Linked DNA regions of Coturnix japonica. The protein of the gene in region 1 purifies or fractionates together with the protein of each later gene. This does not show direct contact. Links are inferred from orthologs where the notes say so. Each region holds a gene or a part of one and is shown in the gene's direction. Other genes may lie near its edges.

Region 1 (4,016 bases):
ATAGATCACTTGTGGGTCACATATAGGGCAGTTATGGGGTCAAGAGCTCACTTAGGGGGCAGTTATGGGGAATACAGAGCATTTATGGGGCAGCTATGGGGTGTCTATGGGGCAACTATGGGGTGTCTATGGGGCAGCTATGGGGCTTCTATGGGGTATCTATGGGGCAGCTATGAGGTGTCTATGGGGCAGCTATGGGGCATCAATGGGGTCTCTATGGGGCAGCTATGGGGCAGCTATGGGGTGTCTATGGGGCAGCTATGGGGCACTATGGGGCTCTCACCTCCTCCTCAGCAGCGCCGCCGTTCTCTCTTGCAGCCCCTATGGGACAGAAGCGATGTAGAATGGGGGGGCTCCGGGCCCCATAGCGCCCCATAGAGCCCCATATATCCCCATAGCGCCCCATAGAGCCCCATATATCCCCATAGCGCCCCCATAGAGACCCATAGCGCCCCATAGAGCCCCATAGCGCCCCATAGCGCCCCATAGCACCCCATGGAGCCCCCTAGCGCCCCATAGAGCCCCATAGCGCCCCATAGGGCCCCATAGCGCCCCATATCGCCCCATATAACCCCATAGAACCCCATAGAACCCCATAGAGCCCCCTAGCGCCCCCTAGCGCCCCATAGGGCCCCATAGCGCCCCCATAGAGACCCATAGCGCCCCATAGAGCCCCATAGCGCCCCATAGCGCGCCATAGCACCCCATAGAGCCCCATAGCGCCCCATAGCGCCCCATAGCACCCCATAGGGCCCCATAGCGCCCCATATAACCCCATAGAGCCCCATATAACCCCATAGAACCCCATACAGCCCCATAGCGCCCCATAAGGCCCCATAGAGACCGATAGAGACCCATAGAGACCCATAGCGCCCCCCACCTCCATCCGACTCCTATGGGGGGCGCAGCCAAAATGGCGCCCGCCCCAACATGGCGCCCGCGCCCCGCCCTCCCAGGGGATGAGACGCGTGTTGATTGGTTGTCGGTTGTGATGGACGCGGCGTGCGGCCAATGGGAAGGCGGAGTGAGTGGCGGGACGGTTGAAAGAGAAAGCTCCGCCTTCTTGTGTGGAGATGAGAGCGGTGATTGGTTGGGATGAAGAGATGGACGCGGTGAGCAGCCAATGGAAAGGCGCAATGTGTTACGCCCCGCCTTCTAAACAACAGCTCGTGCTTCGATTGGCTAAAAGGTAAAACGGACGTGATCACAGACCAATGGGTAAAGGGCAGCGATGTCCCGCCCTCTGAACGCGGACTCTGGTGCTGATTGGCTGTCAGCCGGACGGACGGGGCAAGCGACCAATGAGAGAGCGAGGAGACGAGCTGAGGAGGCGGCGCGCGAGGCGGGAGACGCGGCGGGAGGGAGGTGAAAAATGGGGGAAAATGGGGAAAAAACGGGCAAAAATGGGGGAAAATGGGGAAAAACGGGCAAAAATGGGGGAAAAGAGGCAAAAATGGGGGTTTTGGGGGGTTTAATGGAGTTTTATGGGGCTCTATGGGGTTTAATGGGGTTCTATGGGGTTTAATAGGGCTCTATGGGGCTCTATGGGGTTCTGTGGGGTTCTATGGGGTTTAATAGGGTTCTATGGGTCTCTATGGGGTTCTATGGGGTTTAATAAGGTTCTATGGGGCTCTATAGGGTTCTATGGGTCTCTATGGGATTCTATAGGGCTCTATGGGGTTCTGTGGGGTTTAATAGAGTTCTGTGGGGTTTAATAGGTCTCTATGGGGCTTTATAGGTCTCTATGGGGTTTAATAGGGCTCTATGGGTCTCTATGGGGTTCTATGGGTCTCTATGGGGTTCTATGGGTCTCTATGGGGTTCTATGGGGCTCTATGGGGTTCTATGGGGCTCTATGGGGCTTAATAGGGTTCTATGGAACTCTATGGGGTTCTATGGGTCTCTATGGGATTCTATAGGGCTCTATGGGGTTCTGTGGGGTTTAATAGGGCTCTATGGGGTTTAATAGGGCTCTGTGGGGCTCTATAGAGTTCTATGGGGTTCTATGGGTTTCTATGGGGTTGAATAGGGCTCTATGGGGTCTCTATGGGGCTCTATGGGGTCTAATAGGGTTCTATGGGGCTCTATGGCGTTTAATAGGGCTCTATGGGTCTCTATGGGGTTCTATGGGGTTCTGTGGGGTCTCTGTGAGGCTCTATGGGGTTTAATAGGATTCTATGGGGCTCTATGGGGTTTAATAGGGTTCTATGGGTCTCTATGGGGTTCTATGGGTCTCTATGAAGCTCTATAGGGTTCTATGGGGTCTCTATGGGGTCTCTATGGGGCTCTATGAGGCTCTATGGGGTCTCTATGGGGCTCTATGGGGCTCTATGGGGTTCTATGGGGCTCTATGGGGTTCTATGGGGCTCTATGGGATTCTGTGGGGCTCTATGGGATTCTGTGGGGCTCTATGGGGTTCTATTGGGCTCTATATGGTTCTGTGGGGCTCTATAGGGCTCTATGGGGTTTAATAGGGCTCTATGGGGTTCTATGGGGTTTAATAGGTCTCTATGGGTCTCTATGGGGTTCTATGGGGTTCTATGGGTCTCTATGGGGTTCTATAGGGCTCTATGGGGTTCTGTGGGGTTTAATAGAGTTCTATGGGGCTTTATAGGTCTCTATGGGGTTTAATAGGGCTCTATGGGGCTCTATGGGGCTCTATGGGGTTCTGTGGTGGCTCTATGGGGTTATATGGGGTTCTGTGGGGCTCTATAGGGTTCTATGGGGCTCTATAGGGTTCTATGGGGTCTCTATGGGGTCTCTATGAGGCTCTATGGGGTCTCTATGAGGCTCTATGGGGTCCCTATGGGTCCCAATGGGTCTATATGGGTCTCTATGGGTCCCTAATGGTCCTTATATGTCTCTATGTGTTTCTATGGGGTTTTTAGGTCCCATCCCCCACACGCCGCCATGTTGTCCCTGAAGGTGAAGGTGGAGAAACCAGGTGAGTAATTAACATCGTAATTAACATCTTAATTAACATCATTAATTAACACAGACTTAATTAACACTAATTAACCCCAAGAAATCCCCCAATTTCCGCCATTTTGAGCCCAATTTCTTCCTTTTTGGGCCTAATTTCTTCCATTTTGGGCCCAATTTCCCCCATTTTGGGACCAATTTCCCCCATTTTGGGCCCAATTTCCACCTTTTTGGGTCCAATTTCCACCATTTTGGGCCCAATTTCCCCCATTTTAGGCCCAATTTCCACCATTTTGGGTCAATTTCCTTCAATTTTGGGCCCAATTTCCCCCCATTTTCGACCCAATTTCTTCCTTTTTGGTCCAATTTCCCCCATTTTGGGCCCAATTTCCCCCATTTTGGGCCCAATTTCCCCCATTTTGGGCCTAATTTCCCCCATTTTGGGCCCAATTTCCCCCATTTTGGGTCAATTTCCTCCAATTTTGGGTCCATTTCCCCCCATTTTAGGCCCAATTTCCCCCATTTTGGGCCCAATTTCCCCCATTTTGGCCCCAATTTCCTCCATTTTGGCCCCAATTTCCTCCATTTTGGGCCCAATTTCCACCATTTTGGGTCCAAATTCCTCCATTTTGGGCTCAATTTCTGCCATTTTGGGCCCATTTTTGTCAATTTTGGGTCAATTTCCCCCATTTTGGGCCCAATTTCCTCCATTTTGGGTCAATTTCCTCCAATTTTGGGCCCAAATTCCTCCATTTTTTGGCCCAATTTCTTCCTTTTTGAGCCCAATTTCTTCCATTTTGGGTCAATTTCCTTCAATTTTGGGCCTAATTTCCACCATTTTGGGCCCAAATTCCACCATTTTGGGCCCAATTTCCGCCTTTTTGGGTCCAATTTCCTCCATTTGGGGCCCATTTTTGTCAATTTTGGGTCAATTTCCCCCCATTTTGGGCCCAAATTCCTCTTTTTTGGGTCCAATTTCCTCCATTTTGGGCTCAATTTCTGCCATTTTGGGTCCATTTCCTCCATTTTTAGGCCCAATTTCCACCATTTTGGGTCAATTTCCTTCAATTTTGGGCCCAATTTCCCACATTTTGG
Region 2 (4,043 bases), on another chromosome or scaffold:
CCACTACTGCTTTCATTTTCTGTCTTTAGCAAGTATGGGACCTTTAGCCCTTCAAAACAGCAGAAATAGGTTTTGTTTTAACACTAGCAATCAAGGGCTGTGGGATCCAGAGTTCAAGAATGGTGTAGGGGCTGTAGGTTGAGTCACGGACTGAAGATTAAAGGCTCTGGATGAACAGAAATTCTTGTGAAAAAGCTGCCTGCAGAAGGAGTTGTGAATTCCTTTGTGGTTTGACTTACTACCCAGCTGCTTTTCTACCTGTGGGATGGGGAGGAGCCTTATGTGTTCCCATCCTTAGAGGTTTCCTTGGCTGGCTGCAGGGGTGAGAAGGGGTCTTCTTCATCTCAGAAGACAAAGGCTGTGTTCTGGCAGTTACTTATTTCTTATCTTATAGCTATATGTTCTTTTTCTTTGCAAGGCTGTTTTGGTTAGTAAGATCTCCAAAGAAATCTAGTGCAAAGCAGTGTTGACTTTGCCACTTACGACTGCCTTATAATGTGTGGATGAATTGCTGGGATTTGTTAGTTGACCTTTTGGCCATGACAAGTATCAGCACTGTTAGTGCAAATCAACTTTTTTCTTTATATAATTTTCTTCCGTTTTGCAGCCTTTGAATTTCCTGTCAAGATCCTTGAACCTTTCCTCCTCAAACAGGAAGAATGACTCTGGTTTGCTCAACAGAGCCTTTGTGCAAGTGCAGTCAGAGAAAATGTCCTACAGGAAAATGCCAAGCCATTTCAGACCTCCAGCACCGGTAAGCCCTGCAGCTGCTCCCTTCCATCAGCAGGTCAGCTTATAGTGCTGCCCCTGTTCTTCAGGAGGAGAATTATGGTGGTGAGTTCAAGAGGAACATAGTATGCTCCTGTGTGGATATCTGTATGCTGTCAGAGCTGTCTTGGTACCCAGGTTTGGAGATGCTGAACTAGCAGTGTCATTACTGCAGCTCCCTCCACTTTCTTTGCAAACCTGCCCTTCTGCTGGAACTCAAATCCCCATGGCTCATCAGAGCTGTGGCCTGCACCCAGGGCCCTGGATTTCTTCCTGGGAATCTGTGTCCTGTCTCAGCCCATCAAGGGATTTAGACTAACCCAGCACTGAAGTAAACTACTTTTTCAGGAATCACTCCTTGGATGGACAGCAGTAGGTTAATCTTTTTTGTTTCTCTGACTGTAACAACTCTACAAGGCACAATATAAGTACCAAAAAGGCATTTCTCACCCCTTTGAGGGATATTTCTAGGTTGTGGTAAAATCTGTGTGCCACAGACAGCATGGGCTGCCTTTGTCCTGCCATTTACCTGAACAGTGGCATTACTGAGCTCCAGCAGATGATGTTTACTTGTCTTTCAAGCATAACTCATAACATGTGCTGAGACTGGTGCTTTTAAGGGCTGTTGACCTTAGAGTTATTTAACCTTTGGGACATAAATGGTTGTGTTCTTTGTAAACTCTTCACCAGTTGATGTAGTTTCAGACAGTAGCGCATTAAAAGAATTGGATCCCTGCTTCATTTGGTGGGGTGCCTTGGAGAAGGGTATGGTTTTTGCAGGTGTTAGTCTGGGCTGAGTCGTGGAAACTCTCTGGTAGGATGAAAATACACGTTTTCCTTGGTGAGGAGTGAAACCACAGCTGGGGGCAAGCACAGAGATGTTTTCAGATGTTAGGAAGGGCCCAGGTGCAGTCTTCACAGTGCAGCCTTGGCTCTGTCTTCAGATAAACAGAGCATCTGTCTCTGGATTAGAGCTGTCTGTTGTGAAAGCTCTTTCTGACAAATAAGTACTTTCCTGCCAGTGTAATTCCTTCCCCTTCTCAAAATAGACCCCACTTAAACACTTCAATTTCTCCTCCTGTCCTAGGTAGAGCTGTATTGCTCTGAGTGCTAATAGATCCATATAAATAAAGCTCTGGAAGTGACTTGAGGGTGGCAGTAAGGCAGCTTGTGTGATGACAGAGTACAGGTGTTCTGAGAAATCCCCTTGCCCAAAGACAGCAGAGCTGCCTGTGGTGTTGCTGGGTTCTTGGGATTTGTTGTACCAGACTTGTGCTGCCAACAGTGGCAGCTATAGATTAAGGAAGCTCACTTAGCTGTGAGCTGAACCTAAATTATCCCCAAAACCATGCTGTGTCTGCACGGGGCATTGCTGTTAGCAAATACCACTCATCAAACTCCAGTTCTTTGCCCTACACATAAACGGTTACTTCCAGTTGAGGGCAGTATATATTGTTTTGCTGCATTTATCAGAGGTTATGCAGAGGGTTTTCCTAGCATAGCAAAGCATGTCATGGGGGCTCTTGCTTTACACAGTGACTGAAGCACAGCTGATTTTTATTTTCCAGCTCTTCCTGTGCTGTGTGAGGCCCTGTTGAAGCTACAGGCACCAAATTGCTACTAAGGATGGATGGTCTTTCTGACCAATCCAACCCTTCAAGGTCTGGGGCTGAGCAGCTTCCATAGGAGTTGAGCTGGTTGGCAATAAACCTGGAAGCTGCCGTTGAATTCCTTTGATCCTTCCAGGCTCTGTTCAGCCCAGTGAAGCTTAGTGGGCTTGTTCTCTGGGCTTTTGGTCCCAAGACAAGTTGGGGAAAGCCCTTAAGAAGCCTATGAGTGGTTCTGCAATGGGAAACTGCTGAACATAACCCCCCAAGCTATAGGTTTTTATTTTTCCTGGGGAGCAGATAGTTTTTATTTATGCACGTTGTTTTAAAACAGTATGTCAACATTGTGTTTGTCTCACTAACCCTCAGCACCCTCCTTTCCCTGGACTGTGTTGTACATATTCTTTCTTTTCCTTTCATAGATGACCAGGGCTTGGAAAGCGGTGGCCTGTGGTGGAACCCGAGACCAACTCTTCATGCAGGAGAAAGCACGACAGTTCTTGGGCATGCTGAAACAAAGTCACACATCAAGGACCTTAATCTTATCGTGAAGGATTGTTCTGCTCTTTTTATTTTATGTTTTACATCTTGTTATAAAAGAAGAGGAGGGAACTACGAAGTTGGAGGGGTGGAAAAAATCCTCTGCAAGGCCGTAGCGTGTAGGGGTGAATTTTTTCCTTCTATTCCCAGGTTAGATCTGTATTGTAATAAATTGAGTTAACTGCTGGCTATAATGTCGGATACAAGTTCTGGAATCCCTGTGGAAAGGCAAATGAGGGATGGGTGGAGAACTGACAGCAAGAGCACTCAGCAAGACCTGGGCTCCACAAGCATAGGAAGCTGATTCACCTTCAAGCAGCACGCGTATCATGCATTGGAAACAGACTTTGAAGGCTGTTGGATTTCATGCTGGCTGTCCTTGGGAATGGCTCTTGTTAAGGTTCCCATGTGTCTCCTCATCTGGCTTTCTGCAGGGGATGGTGGCTCCTCCTTGCTTCTAGGATGAAGATGATGTGCTGTCATGGGCGATGTGCTTTGGGTTGATTTGCATTTGGAGCTGGCCAACCCTGTGTGGCTGTTTGTACTGCCATTGCTGCACAATGGGAGCAGCGGGTGCTTCTTCCCAGGGACTTGCTCCCTCTGGAAATAAACAATGGTGCTAACAACACCCAGTTGTTCAGTCTTGCTTTGACTCTGCCTGGGGCCTCACAATGTGCAGAGGGAGGCAGTGCTGTGTAGGGGTGTCAAGAAGCAGCAGAGCATGCTGTGGACTGCAGCATTTCTGAGGCAGGTCAGAGTGGCTGCAGCCTTATTGGAGAGCTGCTGGGAGCCTCTGGCCTTGAGGAGCCTCTGCAGTGCAGACCTCAGCTTCTGGATCAGTGTTCCTTGTGTGGAGGAGGCTGATCAGCTGAACAGAGTGCTCAGCTATTAAAATAACTGGTGGGGATTACCAGTTAAGCATGGGCCTGGACTGGACCAAAGGCTAATGCTGTTTTTTGTAGGTGATGTTTGAGATACAGTGAAGTCAAATAATGAGCACAAGGGCACGTGGTGTGATACAGAGGTGAGAAAGACAGGATAGCTCACCAGGAAACGTGTTTTCATGTGGAATCTCCTCTTTCCTGGCTGAGACTGAAGAGCAGCTCATTGGTCAGACTGGCACATGAA
Region 3 (3,500 bases), on another chromosome or scaffold:
TCTGGGAGAGCTACAGAGTAACAGAAGTCAGTTGAAGGGCTGTCAGTCTCTATTCAAGAAACAGTGACCTGTGAGATTACTCCCTAACCAGAATTGATGCATTTCAGTCTGTTGTTATAGCTTGACCAGATAGCCTCTTCTTATGCTGCAGAGAAATTCCTGTTCAGCTCCTCCACTGAAGATATTCTCTTTTCTCCTTTGCTCACCAGACACTCAGCCATTGTCACCAATCTCTGTGCATGAGCGCTACAGTTCCCCGACAGCAGGAAGTGCCAAGAGAAGACTCTTTGGAGATGACAGTCCCAAAGAAATGCAGGTGGAAAAGGTTTTAACAGAGGGAACTAAGTTGACAATTGCTCCAGCATCAAGTATTGCTGCTGAAAATGCATCCATCTCTCCTGGGCAGACAGTGCTGACTGTAACAACAGCAATGGTGGCAGGAAAAGCAGGACAGAAAGTTACTATTCCACTGCATGGTACGAGTTCCTTATGGTTTTCTTTCATATGAGATGTTTTGTTTGCTCTTAAGATCTGGCTAGATGGGCCGTAGATCTTGTATCTATTTTTCCTTCTTTAAGAGAGCATTAACAAAGCAAGCAAACAAACACAACACCAGAACTCAAGCCTTTGTATGGGTGTCTCTTTCTGTGTTTTAATCTGATATCTGACAAGAGTCTGGAGGATTCCACGTGGCAAACAAAATTGTGGAGTTCTTCCTTACTGTTAAATCTCATCACAGATTAAGCATTGGTTTGTTTTTCGGCTCTAATAGTGATTCATTCCTGCTTGCTCTGGTTTTTGTCTACTGTCTTTTTAAGACTGAAGTTACTGAATAAGGGTTGTGTAGACATTAAGCAAAATAGCAGGGGGTTGCATTTGTTTTTTGGGGGGGGTTGGCTTTCTTTGTTTTACTGGAACAGGTGCTTGACTATTTCTTACAAGGATACACAAGAAATGAGGTCTGTAGTCTTTCTGAATTTCAAAATCTGTGTCTCCATATAGGAAGATAGAATGAAAAAATCACTGCTTTTCATGTTTAAAGAGACATTCCTTAAGAGAATTTGACAGCCTCAGAAACTCATGTGGGCTGTGTGCAATAGATTGTGAGATTTGCAGAATAATATAAAAAATGAACTCAGATGCCCATTGCTCCCAGAGGAGTGTTGCACTGACAACAGAGATTGTAATTTCATGTAAACCTTGTACTTTTAAGGGAGTTCTAGAAACAATAATTCACAACCATCCTCTTCCTTTGAGCTTTACCAGAAATGTACTTTTCTGTCATTTATGAAGACTCGATCTTCTTAGTGCTCGATATAGAAGGAAGAAATATCTTGTGTATGAAATACTGGTTTAAGAGTTTGGGATTTGCAGTTCTACTGTGCGTTGTTGTTGCAGCAAGCAGTTCATTTCTTGGGTGCGTGTCATCTTCAGGTATCACAAACGAGTTGGGTGGGATCACATTGATACCCGTTTCGATGAATCTAGGTCAGACACCTAAAATAGAGGCTCAGGATCCCTGCCACCCTCAGGTGAATCAGGATCAAGAGGTGCATCTCTCTTCAAGAAACAAACCAAAGAAAACAGGATCCTTGGCGCTATTCTACAGGAAGGTAGGCATCTTTGATAGGAAGGTGGGATTTACCTCTGTGGCTGTGCTGAAGCTCTGTGCATTACATTACCTTTCAGTCCTTGGCTTGAAGAATTCTCACATTGCTGGGAGAAGGGAAAAGCCATTGTAGAGGATTCAGTAACACCGTTCATCTTCTGTCCATTCACCTTCTGTCCTCCCCCATCATGAGGTGTTTTTGTTTCTTAATTTTCAGGAGCTTCTGGAAAGAGGGAATTTCTTGAAATGATGAGGAGTTAAAGGATTAGGTTAAGAACTTGGTGCTTCAGAGAAACGTTTTTAGGGCAGGGAGATATATTCTTACTAAAGAGGTTCTCAGAGATTTTCTCCTTTATATCCTAAACTGGAGAGGGGTGGATTTGAAGACTGGACTATTTGGAGGATGAAGAACTGGTTGGATCTCCATAGCCAGAGTGTTGAATGCATCCCATTATAGTGAGTGAGGTAATACAGAAGGAATAGAATATTTTCAATCAGGTTTCCTTTAAGCATCCAGCATTTGATCTGAGTTGACAATTTAGTATTTGAAGACATTCTTGTGGGCAGGAGGAGAAAGCTTTGAGGAAGCAAAGAACTGAAACATAAAACAGCTGCACTTCAGTGATGGCTTTCACTTCTCTGGGATAGGTTAAGCTCAGTTGGCTTGATTCGTTACTGTATGTCTTTCTCTTCTAGGTTTACCACCTGGCAAGTGTGCGCTTGCGTGACCTGTGTTTAAAGTTGGATGTCTCCAATGACTTGCGCAGGAAGATCTGGACATGCTTTGAATTCACATTGGTTCATTGTGCTGATCTAATGAAGGATAGACATTTGGACCAGCTTCTCCTCTGTGCCTTTTATATCATGGCAAAGGTAACATGTAGGTTTAAGGAATGAGAGTTTTATTTCAGTTCAAAATGTAAATTGGATGGCTGACCCTGAGTCCTGTAGCAAATGAACAATTCTGATGTGTGAAAGAAAACTAAAATTGCATGTATGCATGTATAGCTGTGTGGTGGTTTGTGGAGTGCTTCCTTTTTTCTACTGAGAAAAGTTAAGACACGTAGTTTTCAAATTCACAAATACATCTGATGGAATAACACTTCCTTTTTTAATTTTTAGTATGAGTTGGAAAAGAAATAATGTCTAACTTAGGCAACAAATAGCTTTACTATCAGAAATAAAAAAGAATGTGTATTTTTGTTCATATTCCCATCATTAGACGCATCCCATCAGCATATTAATGCTCGTGAAAGATCTGTGTACAAGGAAGCTAATTGAGTACACTGCACCTGGGCAGCCTCACTGTCTTCAATGGCCTTTTCTTTTCCAGGTCACCAAAGAGGAAAGAACTTTTCAGGATATAATGAAAAGTTACAGGAATCAGCCACAAGCAAACAGCCATGTGAGTAAATGAAGGTGCCTTTCCTTTGTATAAATGTTTGACGGGGTGGTTTTCAGGTGATTCTGATGATAATGGAAAAGTCGACTTCATTGCTTTATTCATTCTTACTCAAATGGATTTCATCTCATAGTATTGCCAAGGTTGGAAAAGACCTCCAAGATCATCCAGTCCACCTACCACCAATATTTCCCACTAACCCATGTCCCTCATTACAACATCTAAACATTTCTCGAGCACCTCCTGGGACAGTGACTCCCCCACCACACTGGGCAGCCAATTCTGCTGCCTGATCATCTTCTGACTTTTCTCTTTCCCTGTTTTCCCCCCTCTGTGTCCTGTAGGTTTATAGGAGTGTCTTGTTAAGAAATAGTTCTGCCAATGTCCTTTTGGACAGAAATGCAAACCAAGATGTGCGGATGACAGAAAGTAAGTAAAGTAATCTGACACTGTTTTAAAACGTACTTGCATGTTTTTATGGAACCAAAC
Region 4 (4,077 bases), on another chromosome or scaffold:
AAGTGAATCCAGGATAGAGTTCTCTTTTACCATACAAAGGTGCCAGGGAAAGAGTAAATAAAATGACATCCTCTGTAAATGAGGACTACTGAAATAAGAGAAAGGTTCAAGCTGCCACATTCAGTGAATACAGTAATCATAGAATCATTAAGGTTAGAAAAAGTCCTCTTAAGATCACTCAGTACAAGCCTAACCCCAACCCATCCCTGCAAATAACATCCCTCATGACTCTTGAGCACCTCCAGAGACAGCGACCAACGCCTCACTGCTCTTTTGGAGAAATAAAGTTACCTGATATCCAATCTGAACCTCACCTGGTGCATCTTAAGGCCATTAACTCTCATACTATCGCTGTCAGAAGAGGCCAACCCCTGCTTCACTGCAACCTCTTCTCAGGCAGTTGTAGAGACAGATAAAGTTTCCCCTGAGCCTTCTCCAGACTCAACAATACCACTTCTCTCAGCTACTCCCCATAAGCGATCCTAGTTTTCATGCTTTGTAAAACCCAGGACAACTGCAGACCATGACCTCAGGGTGCAGAGTACTGAAATGGAATAAAAACTTCTTTCGATGTTCCCCTCAAAAGACAGACTGAACACGATCACCTTCGCAGCTTTCTTATTTTAACCAGGAGCTCTCAAAGCAAAGACGTTCCTCCAGAGAACTAAGAACTGGGACTCGAGGAATACCAGTTCCATCAGAATCAGACACTGCCCTCGAGGAAGGGAAAAAACAAACAAACTGTGCGACACATTGCACCGTGAGCAGCCAAACACGCCATATCAAAACAATAAACGTTAAGGGAGGTTTCACGGTGCCCACAGCAGCACAGGGCCCATCACCACAGCGGGGCCAGGGCCGCAGGGACCACGAGGCGGCCCTAAGGCCTTCCCCAGACATTAAACCCAAGCTGTAAGTGGCAAAGTGTATGAGTAAGTGTATGAGGCCGATCTCTTTGAATTTTCTTCTTTTTTATTAAAAGTAACGCTTCAGAAGCGTGGTCCTCGGGCCGCAGCCATCAGAGCCGCTCCCCCGTAGCCCGGCAGCGTCCGCAGCCCGCACCCCCCCGCCCCACCGCCAAGGGAGCATCGGCCGGCACTCACTTCCCCGCCAAGTCCTTGTGGGAGCCGCTCGAGTTCATCAGCTGCGCCAGCTCCTGCCGCACCGCCGCCGCCATCTTGTCTCCTACCATAGAGCGGCGGCGCCGGCGGGATAGAGCGGCAGCACGGCGAGAGGGGGGGCGGAACCGGAAGCTCGGGGAAGCGGGCGGGTGGGTAAGCGCTGCGCCGGCGGTTGCCAGGGCGCCGCGGCGCAGTATTATGGGATGCGGCGGGGGAACGGCGCGGGGCGCGTGATTTTGAACAAACGCGGCGGCTCCTGGCGGGCAGTGCTGTGCCGCCGCCGCCGGGCGCGGACACGGAGAGCGGCGCGGAGCCACAATAGAGGAGGCGGCGGTGGAGGCAGCGGAGCGCCCGCCCGCACGGTGAGTGCCGAGGGGCGGGAAAGCGGCGGCGGGAGGGAAGAGAGCGGCGGCCGGGAGCGGCGGGGCGCTGACAGCCGGCGGCAGGATGCAGGCCGCAGGCCCGGACACACTCGGGGCTGCGCCGCGCTCTGCTCCCCGCCGAGACGGGAGGCGGCCGCTCGGAGCGGAGCGGGAGGACGGGTGGAGGGGGCAGGTGCGGCGGGGGCGGGCGGAACCGCGGCGGTGACGGGGTGAAAATGGCGGATCTTTCGAAATAGGGCCCGCGGCTCCCGGCCGCCCCCGCGCCGCCACCGCCGTGGGGAGGCCCCGGGGGGGAACGGAACGGAGCGGAGAGGGCGGCGGGGGAACGAGGCGCTCGCGGAGGGGCCGCGGGGCTCGGGCCGGGCCTGCGAGCGGAGGGGCCTGGAGGAACCGCGGCGCCCGGTTGCGGAACGGGGAAGGAGAACCCCGAGCTCCCGGAGCGAGGCCGCCCTTTGTGTGCGGGATGCCGGCACCGGGGACCAGGGAGCGGCGCGGCTTCAGGTGCGAGGCCGGTACCTGACCCCGCTCCGCTCCGACTCCGGCACCTGCCGCGGGGGTCCCGGCGTCGCCCGCGCTGGCGATCGGAGCGCGGTGTTAATTATTTCTGGCCGGGGCTCGTCGGCACATCGTGTGCTAATTACGTAACGTTCTGTATGAGGGCTTTGGGTTCCGAAGCGTATGGGATCTCCTGTCAGGACATAACTCGTGCCTGGGAAATGCTCCAGGATGGAGATGTGCGATCGAGGAGGGGCGGGCGGCGATGTGAGCCTTCACGGCTCTGTCCTTTCTGAACCGCTGTGCGGATATTACAGCGAATGGTGAATGTGGCAGAATCGCTCTTGGTGCACTTTGCAGTGTTTACATAAACCTGGTAGTAGCAGCAAAGCCTTCGATGTGTGGCTACCTTTTTCACAGTAGCTTTCTGGATTAGTGGATGCGAGAAGAACAATGAGTTGTCAGCTGAGTGTTTTCTCTGGCAGAGGAATCCCCTCACCAAATGCATTAGCCATCTTGTTTTGTTCCCTAAAGCATCCAACTGGTGTGTGTGACTAGGAATGATGTCACTGTGTGCCTTGAACAGATTTGCATTAACCAACAAATGTATGCATGTAGCAAAGCACTCCTAAAGTCTAACTGGGAGCACATATTAGAAAACAGGGCCTGGCTAATCCTGTGAGTTAGAAGCACACTCCACGCTGGCTGTAGAGCTATCGTTTTGAGCAGCTTATTATGCAAGTTTAATTGTTCAGATTACATATCACAGCTGTTTGTTTTGCTTATTCCACTGTGTGCAGCCCAGCTCAAATGGTCTGTCACTGAACACTGTGAACGGTTCAACTTCTCAGAAGAAGCTGTAACTAACTGCTTTCAGGCTGAGTATCTGCTGACTACAGGTGAACTGAAAGTGTGGAGAGTGCTGTGGGATTTCGGACTCGGAGACGCCAATACCTCATATGTCTTTTTTATTTTAGATTTTAAGAAGCAATTGCTCTAAGCTGCTTGAATTCATTTCCCTCCTGCCTGCTGGAAGAATATTGCATGGGAAATGAAACAAGACAAGCTACAGAGGGCTGTTAGTTTCTGTTTCTACAGCAAATTCTTTCTTGCTTCTGATCCCTCCTTGTACTGTAGCAGTGGTGCCTACCTTCACACCTGGTTAGAAAAACTTGATGTCCAAAAGAATTTGTGTGCTGCAGTTTTAGGATTCATTACAAGTGTCTGGGAGGTAAACTCTTGGTTTTATCTTTATTAGCGGTAGGACCTCCCAGAGAAGTGGATAAAGGTTTCTAGAAAGTTTGCTTCTAGGGTTTGTCTTGAGTAGTTTAGTTTATCACTCACAAAGTCTTTAAAGCAGCATGGAGTTCTCAGTACGGCCCATGAGTCATCTTGCTAGCTTTATAATATCAGAAAACATGAGTTTGTCTTGTATGGGAAGGAGACATCAGAATAACCTCTTGGTTGATGATAGGTCACACAGCAACACAATGTCAGAGGTTCATGTTTCTCACATTCCAGATCTAGATGAAGACTAGCAGCTCCCCAGCCTTTCCAGCCCATGTATCATTCCCTTTCACAAGCCACAAGATGTTGCTGCCTGGCCTTGGGTAATGTTCATGCCTTTGGGCCATGATTTGCTCCATCATGAGTTCCAGATACAGAGATTTCCTGCCAGTTTTTGTAGTTTTTCATTTGCAACTTACCTTTTGTTCTAAGTATTACTATCCCTTGTATTTGGGAGACTTAGAAAAAATGTAGCTACACATCCCTTTGATCCCATGAGCACTTCTTGCTTCTTTCTTGATGTTGGCACTGGTCCTCCCTCTTTCATGCTTCCCCTTCTCTTACACCATGCCTAAACACTGCATAGTCCGCATAGTGAAAGACTCATCTGTGTTAATACTGATATGGATTTTGCTCTAAGCTGGAGTGATCTGCACCAGACTATGTCAGGTGGCCTCCCACTGCTGGGGGTTGGTTGTACTCCCATCTTCTGCTCCTGTTGCTTGCTCTGAACTGGCTTTCTGCTTTTCCTGAAGCTTTTACTGAGCTGAAGTAGCCCTGTTTGAAGGCAG
Region 5 (3,500 bases), on another chromosome or scaffold:
GCAGGGGCAACTTGAAAGAATGGGGCCTTGAGTAACTGAAATTTTTATATAACTCCAGGGAACTTCCTAGGCAACCTGTTCCTGTGCTTACCATTTTCATTGTGAATGTTTTATCCCTGGTATCTAGTTGGAATTCTCTGTGCAGCTTCTGGGGACAGCTGCCTCTCTTTTGCTGTGCATCTCTGTAACTACCTATTTGGTATTCTGAGGTGACACTTATATCACTACAAACACACATCTCTTGCCTTAACCATCTCCAGGCTGAATGTATCAAGCTCCCTCAGCTTCTCCTTATACATCACATAATTCAGTACTCTAACCACATTAGCAATTTACCAGGAAATATTTACCTCTGAATTCTAAAAGTACTTAATGAAGGTACTTCTGTTGTGTTACCCCAATATAATTATAACATGTAAAAATAATTAGTAAACACATAGATAAATGTGATAATGAGCAGGAACTAATGCTTTTCCACAAGGAGGGGAAAAGGGAAGTTAGGAAGTTGCGTCTTTGTTCAAAGTCATGCTTTGAAAGAATCAACAAGCATTTGGATAAGGGTTATCTAATCAGTGTGATGCCCTTGGTTTTGTTGAAAGCAGTGGTCTAGAAAATAAGAAAGTTATCAAGGGCTTTAATCAGCCTGTTAAAGCACCTGAGGTGTCAGGGAATGGGACAGTCCTCGCATGGGTTAATAATTGATGAAAGCCAAACTAGATAAAATGAGGACCCCAAGTGAACTGTTACCACTCAGAAAGTTTAATAAAGTCCTTGTAAGTTACATGATGAAAACATAAAATTAGTGTCTGTTGGGGAACAAGCAAATTAAATTTTAAGAGTTATTTAGAAATCAACAGAGAATAAAATAGAAAATGTGCCGTGGATTTGTACAGTAACATATGGTGTGCCTTCTTCATGAGTGGTGTGTCCCTGTCCCCTGTGAGAACAAGTCTCAAACAGGAGAGCTCAATGGTGTACGTGCAGTAAGAATTGCCAGAGGTAAGGAGAGGGCTCTGTACAATTAGAGATGAGTTGACAAGGAGTCTTAACTTGAGAAAGAAGTTACAACTCTTATACTGGGAATGGAACCTCCAGTTAGCTTTCTTGTTTTTGCAAGCAATGAGAAGGTTTAAATAAAGGCACGTTGGCAGGAAGCTGAGCAGAAGATACACAGGCACTCGGAGCTGGAGTAGTGGTGGCTGTGCTCGAAGGAACACTGAAGAAACAGGAAGGCATAACAGGCAATGAACAAGAGCCTGCATGCCATGCTTGTAACAGTCCGCACTGACAGAGACCTGCTGTTGCCACTGCTGAAACTCACCACTCAGCACCTCACTGCTCACGTCCACTATTTGGTTTCCATCACAGTGGTCAGCAACTGTCAATGAATGTCAGAGTGTACTCTTATTTCCACATGGAGGAGTTCAGTGACACACCTTTGCTTCATCCACCATTGTGTCAGAGCGCCCCTCTGCTGCCATCCATCACACAGCAACAACATGTAATGGGATATTGGTCAAAGGTTCAGCCTCTATTGCCGTACCACCATCATCTGCCTCTGACGTTGTGGACCAATGTCATAACATATGGAGCATTACTTTTGGAGCGGCTCTCATAAAATAATCACAGAATCACAGAATTATCAAGGTTGGAAAAGACCTAGAAGATCATCTAGTCCAACCATTACCAATACTTCCCAGCTAAATCATATTCATCAACACAACATCCAAACGTTTCTTGAACACTCCCATGGTCAGTGACCCCACCACCTCCCTGGGCAGTGCATTCCAATGGGGCATGGATTTTGAGTGGTTAGAGAGAAGACTTCGGTAGCCACTAAGAAAAGGGGGTTGAAGAGGAGGGGGTATGCCTTCTATCATATACCTGTTAGCTCTACCACTGTGCTTTGAGAGAATAAGTGGACCATAGTGAGTTAAATCATGCTCATTCTATGTCACCGAGCTGATTACACAGAAGGAAGGTGAGAAAAATATAGTAGGAATCTTAATTTCTTAGTGCTTCGAGAGCATGAATGCTGCATTTATGTAGGTTCTCTCATTTCTGTTAGTAGGCTTTGGTAATATTTAAGAAACTGGAATTGCTAAAATAATACAATGTGGCTGACATGAAGATTTCTGCTTCTATTTGTTTTTAGGAGTTGTTTCTCTATTGGCTGTTCATCCCTCTACAGTAAATACAATCGGAAAACAGCTCCTGCCAAAAACATTTGGACGGTCTAATGTCAACATTGCACAACAAGTGGTAAGGAGATGTGTTGGGTGTTTTTTTACTTGCGTGCTGTAAATCTGAGTTGTTGGTTGATATCCAGTATCACTTGTCATGTGCAGATTGTCTAAATGTTTCTAGTTTTAATAGACTCGCAGAAATAGAACAAATGTGCTTTTGCAGAAGGAAATGACACAACAGTGAAATAAACAGGTAGATACCTGAATATTCAGATTGCTGTCTTTTTTGTTAGTGTTTCCACTTCTAATCAGTGGCTCTTTACTGTGTTGGTTTGGAATCTGTCATAGGGACATACTCAGTTTTGGTTGAGTAAATGAACATTTACAGCCCTGTGTGTGTGCGCATGCACAAATTATACAGCTGTAAATTGTTGTTTTCATCGCACGTTTCAAATGACAAATTCACGTGCTTTCAGTCTCTCATTGTAACATGAAATTGCTTCTCTTGATGGTGTCTTTCTTAGTATGATCACAGTGTGAAATTTACACTTGCAGTGAAGAATTTGTAGCATTTTAAGTCTTATTCGAAACATTTTTTGTGAGAAAAAAAAGGTGGCCTGTATCAGAGCAAATTTGTATTGACTCTTATCAATACAAAATGAGATACTTAGTTTTATGTTGGCAAAGAAGAGATGGAATTCTTGTTTGATATCTATATAGAGAGAAATTTACACTGGCTTTATGATTCAGAATGACAGCAAGATAGCAAGAAATAGTTAAAACCCTGAAATCTGGGAAGATATTTATTTACTTATTTATTTTTACCAATAAGGAAGATATTCTTGGGAAACAGAATTGAGGATCTTCCTTCTGACCCTGCTCAGCTTTCCAGCCTTTCCCTGGTCAAAGACAGGTTTTTAATACTCAAATATTCAATTTTCTGAGCCTGTGTTCTTATTCAATTGGTGTTATTTTGTTCTCAGGAGAAAAATGTGGGTGGTGACAGCAGTGTAGCACAGTGGAGTGGATTGTGAAGACTGTCTCACTGTTCTTTTCCATTTTCTTGATGTTAGTTATTCTTAAGGAACTCAACTTTGATATCATTCTTTGTAAATCTAAAAACATTAAAAGAATGTAGAGAAACATCAGATTACTACTTTGACTTCATTCTTTGCCTCTTCCCTCCCAGTTTTCTTTCAAATTCCATCCATATTTGTTCTGTTATCCTGTGGTCCATCCTCTATGATTCCATCCATAAGCTTTCATTTTAGAATGTCCCCAGTGTCCCAGTGACTTCATTCTATTGAACTCTTA
Region 6 (3,947 bases), on another chromosome or scaffold:
GTCTAAAAACTATTACAGAAGATACACATTGATAGAATCATGTTCAGAACTATTTTAATCTACTCAGTCACTACAATTGCTAAGTCATAAAAACCCTGCAGTTCACAGACATATTTAAAAGAAACCAGTTAATAATTCACTTGGTAAGAATTCTGCCCATTAGTTAAGGAGTTCAGGTAAGTATGGAGAAGAAAAAGCAGGGGTAGAAGATGCAGTTAGTGCTGCAACATGCAGGAAGAACTGGGGCCATATAAGTGAAGAGATTGGAATATAGTGCCAAAGGCTTTGCTGAAGTCTAGGTAGACTGTGCCAACAGCCTTTCCCTCATCCACCGGGCAGTTCACCTGGTGAGGGCAGGGATGCTAATGCTGCTGTGATGGTGGGAGAGGGATCAAAGGACGAATCAGGAAAATAAATGGGGCTGAGCCGGACAGGTCACGGCTGCGAAGAGTGTAATGGATAAGCGAGGCCTCGGCTTGTGAAGGAACGCGGCGGTGGGTTAAAATAAGAATAAGACATGACAAGTGCTGATGTGGCTGGCGTTACGGCGGGACGAGCCGTGCCGCGGGCTGCACTCGGGATAACACCATCTTCAGAACTGAAGGGAGAGCAGGAAATCCGAGCTGCTCCTCGGCCCGGCGGAGCCACCGCCGCGGGCCCCTCCAGCCCAACAGCAAACAGAGCTGCCCGGCCCCACTCACCACGGAGGAGGAGGAGACGGCGGCCGAAGCGATCCAGGGAGCCCCGGCTGTCCGCGGCAGCTGGATGTGGACACAGAGCAGCCCGGTTACACGGTGCTCCCCTCCTCCTCCACACCCCCCACCTCCTCCCCACCGCCCCCCGAGGTGCCACCCGCGGCCCCTCCCGCAGCGCTGTGTCCGTGTGCCGCCTCACCCTGAGCACCACGCGCCGCCCGCCCCAAGCGCCACGAGCCACCGCCGCCATCCCGGCCGAGGGTCACAGCGCTCGGACCCCGAGCGGAGCCCCCAGCACAGGGACCCGCCCCCGCCCGCTCATTGGCCAGACGAGCGCCCCCCCCGCCCGCTGTACGCCCCCCCCGAGGGGGCCTTGCCGGCCGCCAGCCAATCGCTGCCAGGGAGAGCGTCGCCCCGCCCCTTTCCCGCCACCGCCCCCCCATCCGGGGCAGCGATTGGCCACGAGCACTAAGGCGCTCGGGCTCTGTTGTCACGTGGGTGGATTCCCGCGGGCTGTGGGTTTAGGTCACGTGACGCAGGCAAGATGGCGGCTCCCGGTGACGGTAAGGCGCGCGAATGGGGTCATCGTCACCCTGCGGTACGGTCTGAGCGGGCGCCGCTTCACCTCCGTTCTACTCCCTGTGCTGTAGGTGCCGATCTGGAAGCCTCTCTGCTGAGCTTCGAGAAGCTCGACCGGGCTTCTCCGGACCTGTGGCCTGAGCAGTGTGAGTGAGTGCGGCGGGCCCGTGTCGCTGGGGTGATGGCGGGGCTGCCGGGCCGGCCCCGCGCTCACCCGGCGCTGTTCGGTTCTCTCTTGCAGTGCCCGGCGTCGCCGAGTTCGCCGCCTCCTTCAAAAGCGTAAGATGCCAACACCACGGCACTGCGGGTCATACAGGCACTGCGGGAGGGACGAGCTGCGCAGGAACGCGCTGCTCTAAGCCCTGGGGGTGCTGCTCTTACTGCTGGCTTTGGCTGTGACTTGCAGTAACACCCAACTCGTCCAGGAAGAGCTTTCTAGGCATTAGAGTAGCCCTGTAGGGTGCCTGGAGCCATCGCGTTTATTCTTTCAGTGTAACTGGTTGTAAATAGGTGACGGAGCACTGGAACAGGCTGCACAGGGAGGTGGTGGAGTCTCCTTCTTTGGAGATATTCAAGACCCGCCTGGACACCTACCTGTGTGACATGGTGTAGGGAGCCTGCTTTGGCAGGGGGGTTGGACTCGATGATCTCTAGAGGTCCCTTCCAACCCCTACAATTCTGTGTGTGTAAATGCTATATCAGGCTTTGTATGCAGCTAAAAATGTACTTCTCTGAGAATGTTTTGCTTTTTTTTCTTCCTTTCTTTTTGTTCTTTTTCTTTTTCCTCCCCCCCAAACCAGCCTATTACAAGCTCGCCTCCCAAATGGATGGCTGAACTGGAGAATGATGATATCGATATGTTAAAGGGTGAGTATGGGCTCCATGGGCACTGAGGCTGTCTGCGGGTGGGAATTCAGTGCCTACTAAAAAGATGAGCTCAGAGACCTTCTGAAGCCTTGTGGAAAGGAAGGGATGGGGGATGCTCCTCTTAATCTGCAGACCATCTTAACCTGCAGAACATCTCCAGTTGAATGATTCTGCTTAGGAGTCTTTGTCTTGTCAATTGCCTCTATCTTTAGTTGGTCCCACAAGAATATATACTGATAACAAAAATGCTGTTGTTCTCCTTGTTACTGCTTTTTGAAGCAGTAAATCCCTGCTGTTTATTTTTTCTTCATTTTTTTTGATTGCTTTGGAACAGTTAGAATGTCTTGCTGGTTATTATGAGTTGTGAGAGCTGAAGAACATATGCTGTACACTGTAAACCGATACTGTTCAAAGTATAACTTGAATGCTCTGTGAAGCGATAAACATAAGCTGCCACTAGAGGGCTACAGTGTTAAAAATCACGCTTTTTCCTTTTAGAGCTGGGAAGCCTCACTACAGCCAACCTGATGGAAAAGGTTCGTGGCCTGCAGAATTTGGCATATCAGCTGGGACTGGATGAATGTGAGTTCTGTGCACAGATGTGATGACTGTATTATGAATCTTGCCACTGAAGTGTGTGTTTATGTTGCACTTACAGTCAGAAAAGTACGTTTGCTGAAGTGGGGAATGTCACACAATTATGACAGTGCAATAGAGAATTTTCTGAAGAAAAAAAGAGTGCTGCTCTAAGCAAGTCTATCATGGATGCAGTGGAGCCTAATAGAGCACATTTAAAAGAATTTCTTATTTTAGGTCTTGTTTTCTGTTTTGAATGCTAAGGTCCAGTGTTTTCTAGTGGCCCATCAATTTCTGACTTAACTTTGGCTTAGGTAAATCACTCAGTTTGCTTCATTTACCGCTTAGGTGCTAACACTCTGTCACAGAGTATCTGTGCCACCACTTCTGTGACTGTGCGTTTGTGTACTGCCTACAGAGTGAAAATGTAACTGGTGTGCAGGATTCTGTTAGCCATTAGTGCTCTTGTAACTTTGGGCTTCTGCAGTTATTTATTTTCCATAGTCAGCTATAGCAGGAGGTGCTGTCACTGCATTCTAAAGTTGACCTTCATCCTGCTTACCAACAACCAATTTATGTCAGTGCCTTTTTTGAAGGGGGGTGGGGGTGGGAGTGGGGGTGGGGATGGGGGGAAGATGCGTTTTTTTTATTGTCATTGCATATAGGATTTTGTTGTTAATGTGCTGATCCGGCTTTGAAGATTCCAAAGGGATTGTGCTTCCTTTAAACAGTATCTGTGTGTACTGATGCATTTAACTTTTACTGCTTTATTTTGCTCTGTCTTAGACTTCAGTTTTAGCAAACTCTTGAGCTTTACATGAGGCTTTGAAAATTTTTAGGCTCAAAGATTTTTTTCAGCTTTATTTCAGTGGGTAACAAAAAGCAGTTGAACTTTGAAGTCTCGTGATTGTGAGCCTGGAATACATATTTCTTATCAATAGATCATTAAGCCTGTTTGAACACTCTCTCCATAGGTAGAAATTTACTTTCAGTGCCAACATCTACAAGGATTGAATAAAGCTTTTAGTGGAGTAGAAGTTATACTTTAACAATGGAAATCTTAATCAAATAATAAGATTGGCTGGTGGTTTGCTTTCTCGATTTATATAACGTCTCACTGTATTTGCAATTTATTTTCACCAAAGTCTATCTCTGTAACACATTGAGTGCTTTGTGTGTCATGACGTATACATGTATGTTAGGAAATCTTCCATATATAATTAAATGCTG
Region 7 (3,500 bases), on another chromosome or scaffold:
GCTTCGTGGTCCTGTTGGCCAAGTTCAACATCACTGGAGGAAGGAACGATGTTTCAGAGATAATTTCTGCTTGTAGCCTTGTGTGGGCAGTGGAGCAGAGAGCAGTTAATGGCCCATTAGGGAAGGATATACAGAGCTCAGATGTTTGCTGGTGGGCAGCTGGCCAACCTCCCATGGCATATCACAGCTGTGGAGTGAAGGGATCCAATGAGGAGGGACGAAGAGGACAAATATGAATGAAACTGGAGACTGATTAGTTCTGCTGCTCCTGGAACAGCTTGTTTCTCTTTCTCCTCCCCGCTCTAAAGTGAGTGTGTGTAACTGAGGAGTGCATCTGGCTTTACCACCTCAGTTTCAGATGCATGTGGGGGAGTTTCCTTTGGGACTGCAGCTAACACAGCACTGCAGGGATAAGGCATCACCCTTCATGTGAGAGCACTGGGCTTGTGGCTGGGCTGAGCAGGAAGGAACCTCCTGCAGAATGGTTTGGTGCTGCCTGAATGGCCCAACACACGTGGCTCCCTCTGCCCAGGGCAGGAGGCTGAGCTTCCTGCTGCCACTGCCTGCACCCACCTTGCCTTAACCCAAAAAGGGGGGAACAAGAAAAACTGGGAAGGTTGGGAAACTACACACAAACACAGAGCAGAAGTCAGAGTGCATTGCTTACTGTGTTTGTCTCTTCCCTAGAATGTATGAACTCTGAGCTGCTGGAGGAGCTGATGTCATCTGAAGGTGAGTCTCAAGAGTTTTCCCCTCGTGGTGTGGCCTTTCTGGGGGAGAAGACTGGTCCTGTGTGCCTTCCTACAGGTGGCAGCCTTGCATTTGCAGCCTTGCCCTCATTGTTCTGGGCTCAGGGCATAGTTCTCACTGTTGTGCCAGGCAGTGAGTGATGCACGAGGAGCAGATGAGCCTCTTCAGTGCTTCAAGGCTGATGAAAAGCAATCTCAAGGATCTCAGGCTACGAGGCCCCACGGCTCAGCTCCAGGCTGTGGGAGTGCTGAGCCTTGGAACCAACTGCTGGCTTTTCTCTTCTAGTGTTTGCTCCCTTGCTCCGCCTCTCCCCCCCTCCTGGAGATCACGACTACATCTACAACCTGGATGAGAGCGAAGGTGTCTGTGACCTCTTCGATGTGCCTGTCCTTAACCTCTGACTCCTCGGCGCGGCTGTGAGCCTCGCACACACAGACCCTTTTGTAACTCTTTGGAAAGTGTCTATTTTTGGATTCCTTTTGTGCTAGAGCTCGAATCAGAGAAACTCTCACATGAACTCAGAAGCAAGAGATGTGGACTCGGAGGCCGGGAGCCTCCCCGTCACTTCTTTCTCCTCCCGTCTTGCACGTGCAAGGACTGACCTCGCCTTGCTGCATCTCTCTCTTCACTGGATTCTGGGCATGGCTTCAGTGGGTCTGTGATTTGTTGAGTTTGCCCAGGTGCCTCTCCAGGCTTCCTCAAATCTGCATGCCTTGGTTTTCCTGCACTCCTAGAGGCACTTTGCACCTCCTAGGTACCAGCTGCTACACGGAGCCCTGACAGCATGGCCAGTTCACAAGCCTGGAGGTAGTTTCAGTGTGGGTGCTTATATCCCAGAGTGACATCAACAAAAAGCAAAAACCAATGGCACCAGAGGTTCCATTTGTTCCAGTGACTCCAATCCAAGCCAGTACGTTTTACAAGACAAAGCACTTTTCTCTGTTGGCTGCCCCTCCCAATAGGACCCGGGAGCTGAGCAGGAATGCTGGTTGTCCCCTGGTGTTGGCCCACCTGACGCACAGCCCAACACTGTGCTGTTCCTACAGGGCTGAAGAAGGGTGCCAGTATTAATGTTTTCTTACTAATGAGTTGCTTGAAAAGGTTAAGACTGCTCCAGCTGATGCCTTGAAGGTATTCAAGTACATCAGACACCTTGTGTTAGCATCTAGCTGTTCTCCAGCGTTGCACTTGAGCCTTCAACTGTTGTAAAGGCCACCAAGCAGGAATGGTGCAGTAGTGCTTTGCCACGATGAGTTCCACAGGTGTTGTCAAAATAGTGTTTTGTTCCCCCCCTCTAACCCTCCCACTTCTGTTCCTCCTTACCATGTGCTCAGGGTCGGCCTTCCTACAGAGATGGATGTTCATGCTGTGCTCCCTGATCCCATGGCAGGTTGCTGCACGATGCGATGCCTTTCTGCATCTTTCTTGTCCCAGCGTTGCTTTTTAGCAGGTGTGTTGAGGTGGCTTTGCAGTGTTTTTTTGTCTTTCTTTTGGATGAGCAGCCAATGGAGCCCATGCATTTCTTTTCTTTGCTCTTGTTGGAGAAAAAACCCTCCTGGATTTATTGTACTTTGCAAACCGTCCCCCCAACGTTGCTTTTGGGTCTGATTTGCCTATCAGTTTTGCACATCTTCCTGCCAACCCAGCCGTCCCATGGAGCCTTTCCTGCCCTGTAAACTGCCAGAGCTGCAGCTCACAGCCAGCACCAGCAGTGATGGGCTACAAATGGGATGTACCCAACTCTCAGCACCTGCAGAGGTGAGAAGGCCACATGCTTGAGTCCCTTCTTTCCAAAGCATCTCCCCGGTGCTTTTTTATCCTTTGTGGGACTCCTCCAACAGACCTGCTCCTTTCTGCCTCCTGGGGACACAGCAGTACCCCGTAGGATAGGAAAAACACAATGAATTCAATAGGAATGGACAGCCTCCAGCCTCCATCCCTTTTTAGGTGAAGGCAGTGGGTGGGATGGAGACACACGAGTGCTCCAGCAGCCCTTCCTTCCTCTGCCACCCCTCACCTTCATCCCCCCCCCCCCCCAGCACATTAATGTTTGCCACAGCTCTGGAGAGATAAAAAAAAACAAAGAAAAAGGAGGAAAAAAAAAAAAAAAAGCTGTAGAGAAGATGAACTGATGAACTTTGATTCCTATATAAAGATTATTTTTATACTTTGGGGTTGTTTTGTTTTTATTTGCAAAGGAAATGAAAATTGCCTGTAATATTTGTACAGTTGTTGAGTGAATAAAAGAACCCTTTCCAGAGGCTGTGCTGTTCATAGGGATGGGATGGGAATAGGTGGGATGAGATGGATGGGATGGGAATGCATGGGATGGGATGGGAAAGGGCAGGAATGGATGGAATAGGAATGGATGGGATGGGACAGGGTGGAGCAGGTAGGATGGGACGGGATGGGACCGGGGGAACGGATGGGACTGGATGGACGGGGCGGGATGGGACGGGACGGGATGGAGCCGCCCCACCTGCGTCAGCTCAGGTGAGGAGGACGGCCGTGCCCGCCCCGCTCCGGCCCCACTCGGGGCTCCCTCCCCGACGGCCTCTCGGCCCGGCCCGGCCCTCCCAGGGGCGGGGAGGTGGCGGCTGAGACCCGGAACTGCGGCGCGGTGCGGCGGGGAGCCACCATGCCGCCTCCCAAGGACGTGGTGAAGATCGCCATCCAGATGGTGGGAGCCATCCCGCAGCTGATCGAGCTGCAGCAGGTACCGCCCGCCCCCACCTCCCCCCGCAGCCCCC

Evidence for each region.
Region 2: the proteins of LIN37 (region 1) and MYBL2 purify together in Homo sapiens (affinity purification with mass spectrometry; 6 studies listed by BioGRID and IntAct, counting the BioPlex papers as one, with this or other methods). This does not show direct contact. The link is inferred for Coturnix japonica from reciprocal best matches to the Homo sapiens genes LIN37 and MYBL2.
Region 3: the proteins of LIN37 (region 1) and RBL1 purify together in Homo sapiens (affinity purification with mass spectrometry; 3 studies listed by BioGRID and IntAct, with this or other methods). This does not show direct contact. The link is inferred for Coturnix japonica from reciprocal best matches to the Homo sapiens genes LIN37 and RBL1.
Region 4: the proteins of LIN37 (region 1) and LIN54 purify together in Homo sapiens (affinity purification with mass spectrometry; 4 studies listed by BioGRID and IntAct, counting the BioPlex papers as one, with this or other methods). This does not show direct contact. The link is inferred for Coturnix japonica from reciprocal best matches to the Homo sapiens genes LIN37 and LIN54.
Region 5: the proteins of LIN37 (region 1) and TFDP1 purify together in Homo sapiens (co-immunoprecipitation; 3 studies listed by BioGRID and IntAct, with this or other methods). This does not show direct contact. The link is inferred for Coturnix japonica from reciprocal best matches to the Homo sapiens genes LIN37 and TFDP1.
Region 6: the proteins of LIN37 (region 1) and LIN52 purify together in Homo sapiens (affinity purification with mass spectrometry; 6 studies listed by BioGRID and IntAct, counting the BioPlex papers as one, with this or other methods). This does not show direct contact. The link is inferred for Coturnix japonica from reciprocal best matches to the Homo sapiens genes LIN37 and LIN52.
Region 7: the proteins of LIN37 (region 1) and E2F4 purify together in Homo sapiens (co-immunoprecipitation; 4 studies listed by BioGRID and IntAct, with this or other methods). This does not show direct contact. The link is inferred for Coturnix japonica from reciprocal best matches to the Homo sapiens genes LIN37 and E2F4.

Annotation. Positions count from the first base shown.
Region 1 is NW_015439939.1:37,374-41,389, reverse strand, and holds the start of LIN37 (protein lin-37 homolog), read left to right. Parts: upstream 1-1,216; 5' UTR 1,217-1,231; coding exon 1,232-1,365; intron 1,366-2,887; coding exon 2,888-2,943; intron 2,944-4,016.
Region 2 is NC_029535.1:3,093,696-3,097,738, reverse strand, and holds the end of MYBL2 (myb-related protein B), read left to right. Parts: intron 1-607; coding exon 608-754; intron 755-2,797; coding exon 2,798-2,926; 3' UTR 2,927-3,543; downstream 3,544-4,043. UniProt on the Homo sapiens protein: Transcription factor involved in the regulation of cell survival, proliferation, and differentiation. Transactivates the expression of the CLU gene.
Region 3 is NC_029535.1:553,474-556,973, reverse strand, and holds part of RBL1 (retinoblastoma-like protein 1), read left to right. Parts: intron 1-209; coding exon 210-476; intron 477-1,434; coding exon 1,435-1,613; intron 1,614-2,305; coding exon 2,306-2,482; intron 2,483-2,942; coding exon 2,943-3,014; intron 3,015-3,355; coding exon 3,356-3,440; intron 3,441-3,500. UniProt on the Homo sapiens protein: Key regulator of entry into cell division. Directly involved in heterochromatin formation by maintaining overall chromatin structure and, in particular, that of constitutive heterochromatin by stabilizing histone methylation.
Region 4 is NC_029519.1:41,194,404-41,198,480, forward strand, and holds the start of LIN54 (protein lin-54 homolog), read left to right. Parts: upstream 1-1,277; 5' UTR 1,278-1,483; intron 1,484-4,077. Other genes in the region: COPS4 (COP9 signalosome complex subunit 4), read right to left, coding at 1,104-1,192. UniProt on the Homo sapiens protein: Component of the DREAM complex, a multiprotein complex that can both act as a transcription activator or repressor depending on the context. In G0 phase, the complex binds to more than 800 promoters and is required for repression of E2F target genes.
Region 5 is NC_029516.1:123,708,782-123,712,281, reverse strand, and holds part of TFDP1 (transcription factor Dp-1), read left to right. Parts: intron 1-2,155; coding exon 2,156-2,262; intron 2,263-3,500. UniProt on the Homo sapiens protein: Can stimulate E2F-dependent transcription.
Region 6 is NC_029520.1:34,237,107-34,241,053, forward strand, and holds the start of LIN52 (protein lin-52 homolog), read left to right. Parts: upstream 1-1,147; 5' UTR 1,148-1,239; coding exon 1,240-1,258; intron 1,259-1,345; coding exon 1,346-1,420; intron 1,421-1,515; coding exon 1,516-1,553; intron 1,554-2,074; coding exon 2,075-2,141; intron 2,142-2,639; coding exon 2,640-2,723; intron 2,724-3,947. Other genes in the region: ALDH6A1 (methylmalonate-semialdehyde dehydrogenase [acylating], mitochondrial), read right to left, coding at 702-761, 895-945.
Region 7 is NC_029526.1:1,544,954-1,548,453, reverse strand, and holds the end of E2F4 (transcription factor E2F4), read left to right. Parts: intron 1-687; coding exon 688-732; intron 733-1,035; coding exon 1,036-1,151; 3' UTR 1,152-3,011; downstream 3,012-3,500. Other genes in the region: ELMO3 (engulfment and cell motility protein 3), read left to right, coding at 3,389-3,466. UniProt on the Homo sapiens protein: Transcription activator that binds DNA cooperatively with DP proteins through the E2 recognition site, 5'-TTTC[CG]CGC-3' found in the promoter region of a number of genes whose products are involved in cell cycle regulation or in DNA replication.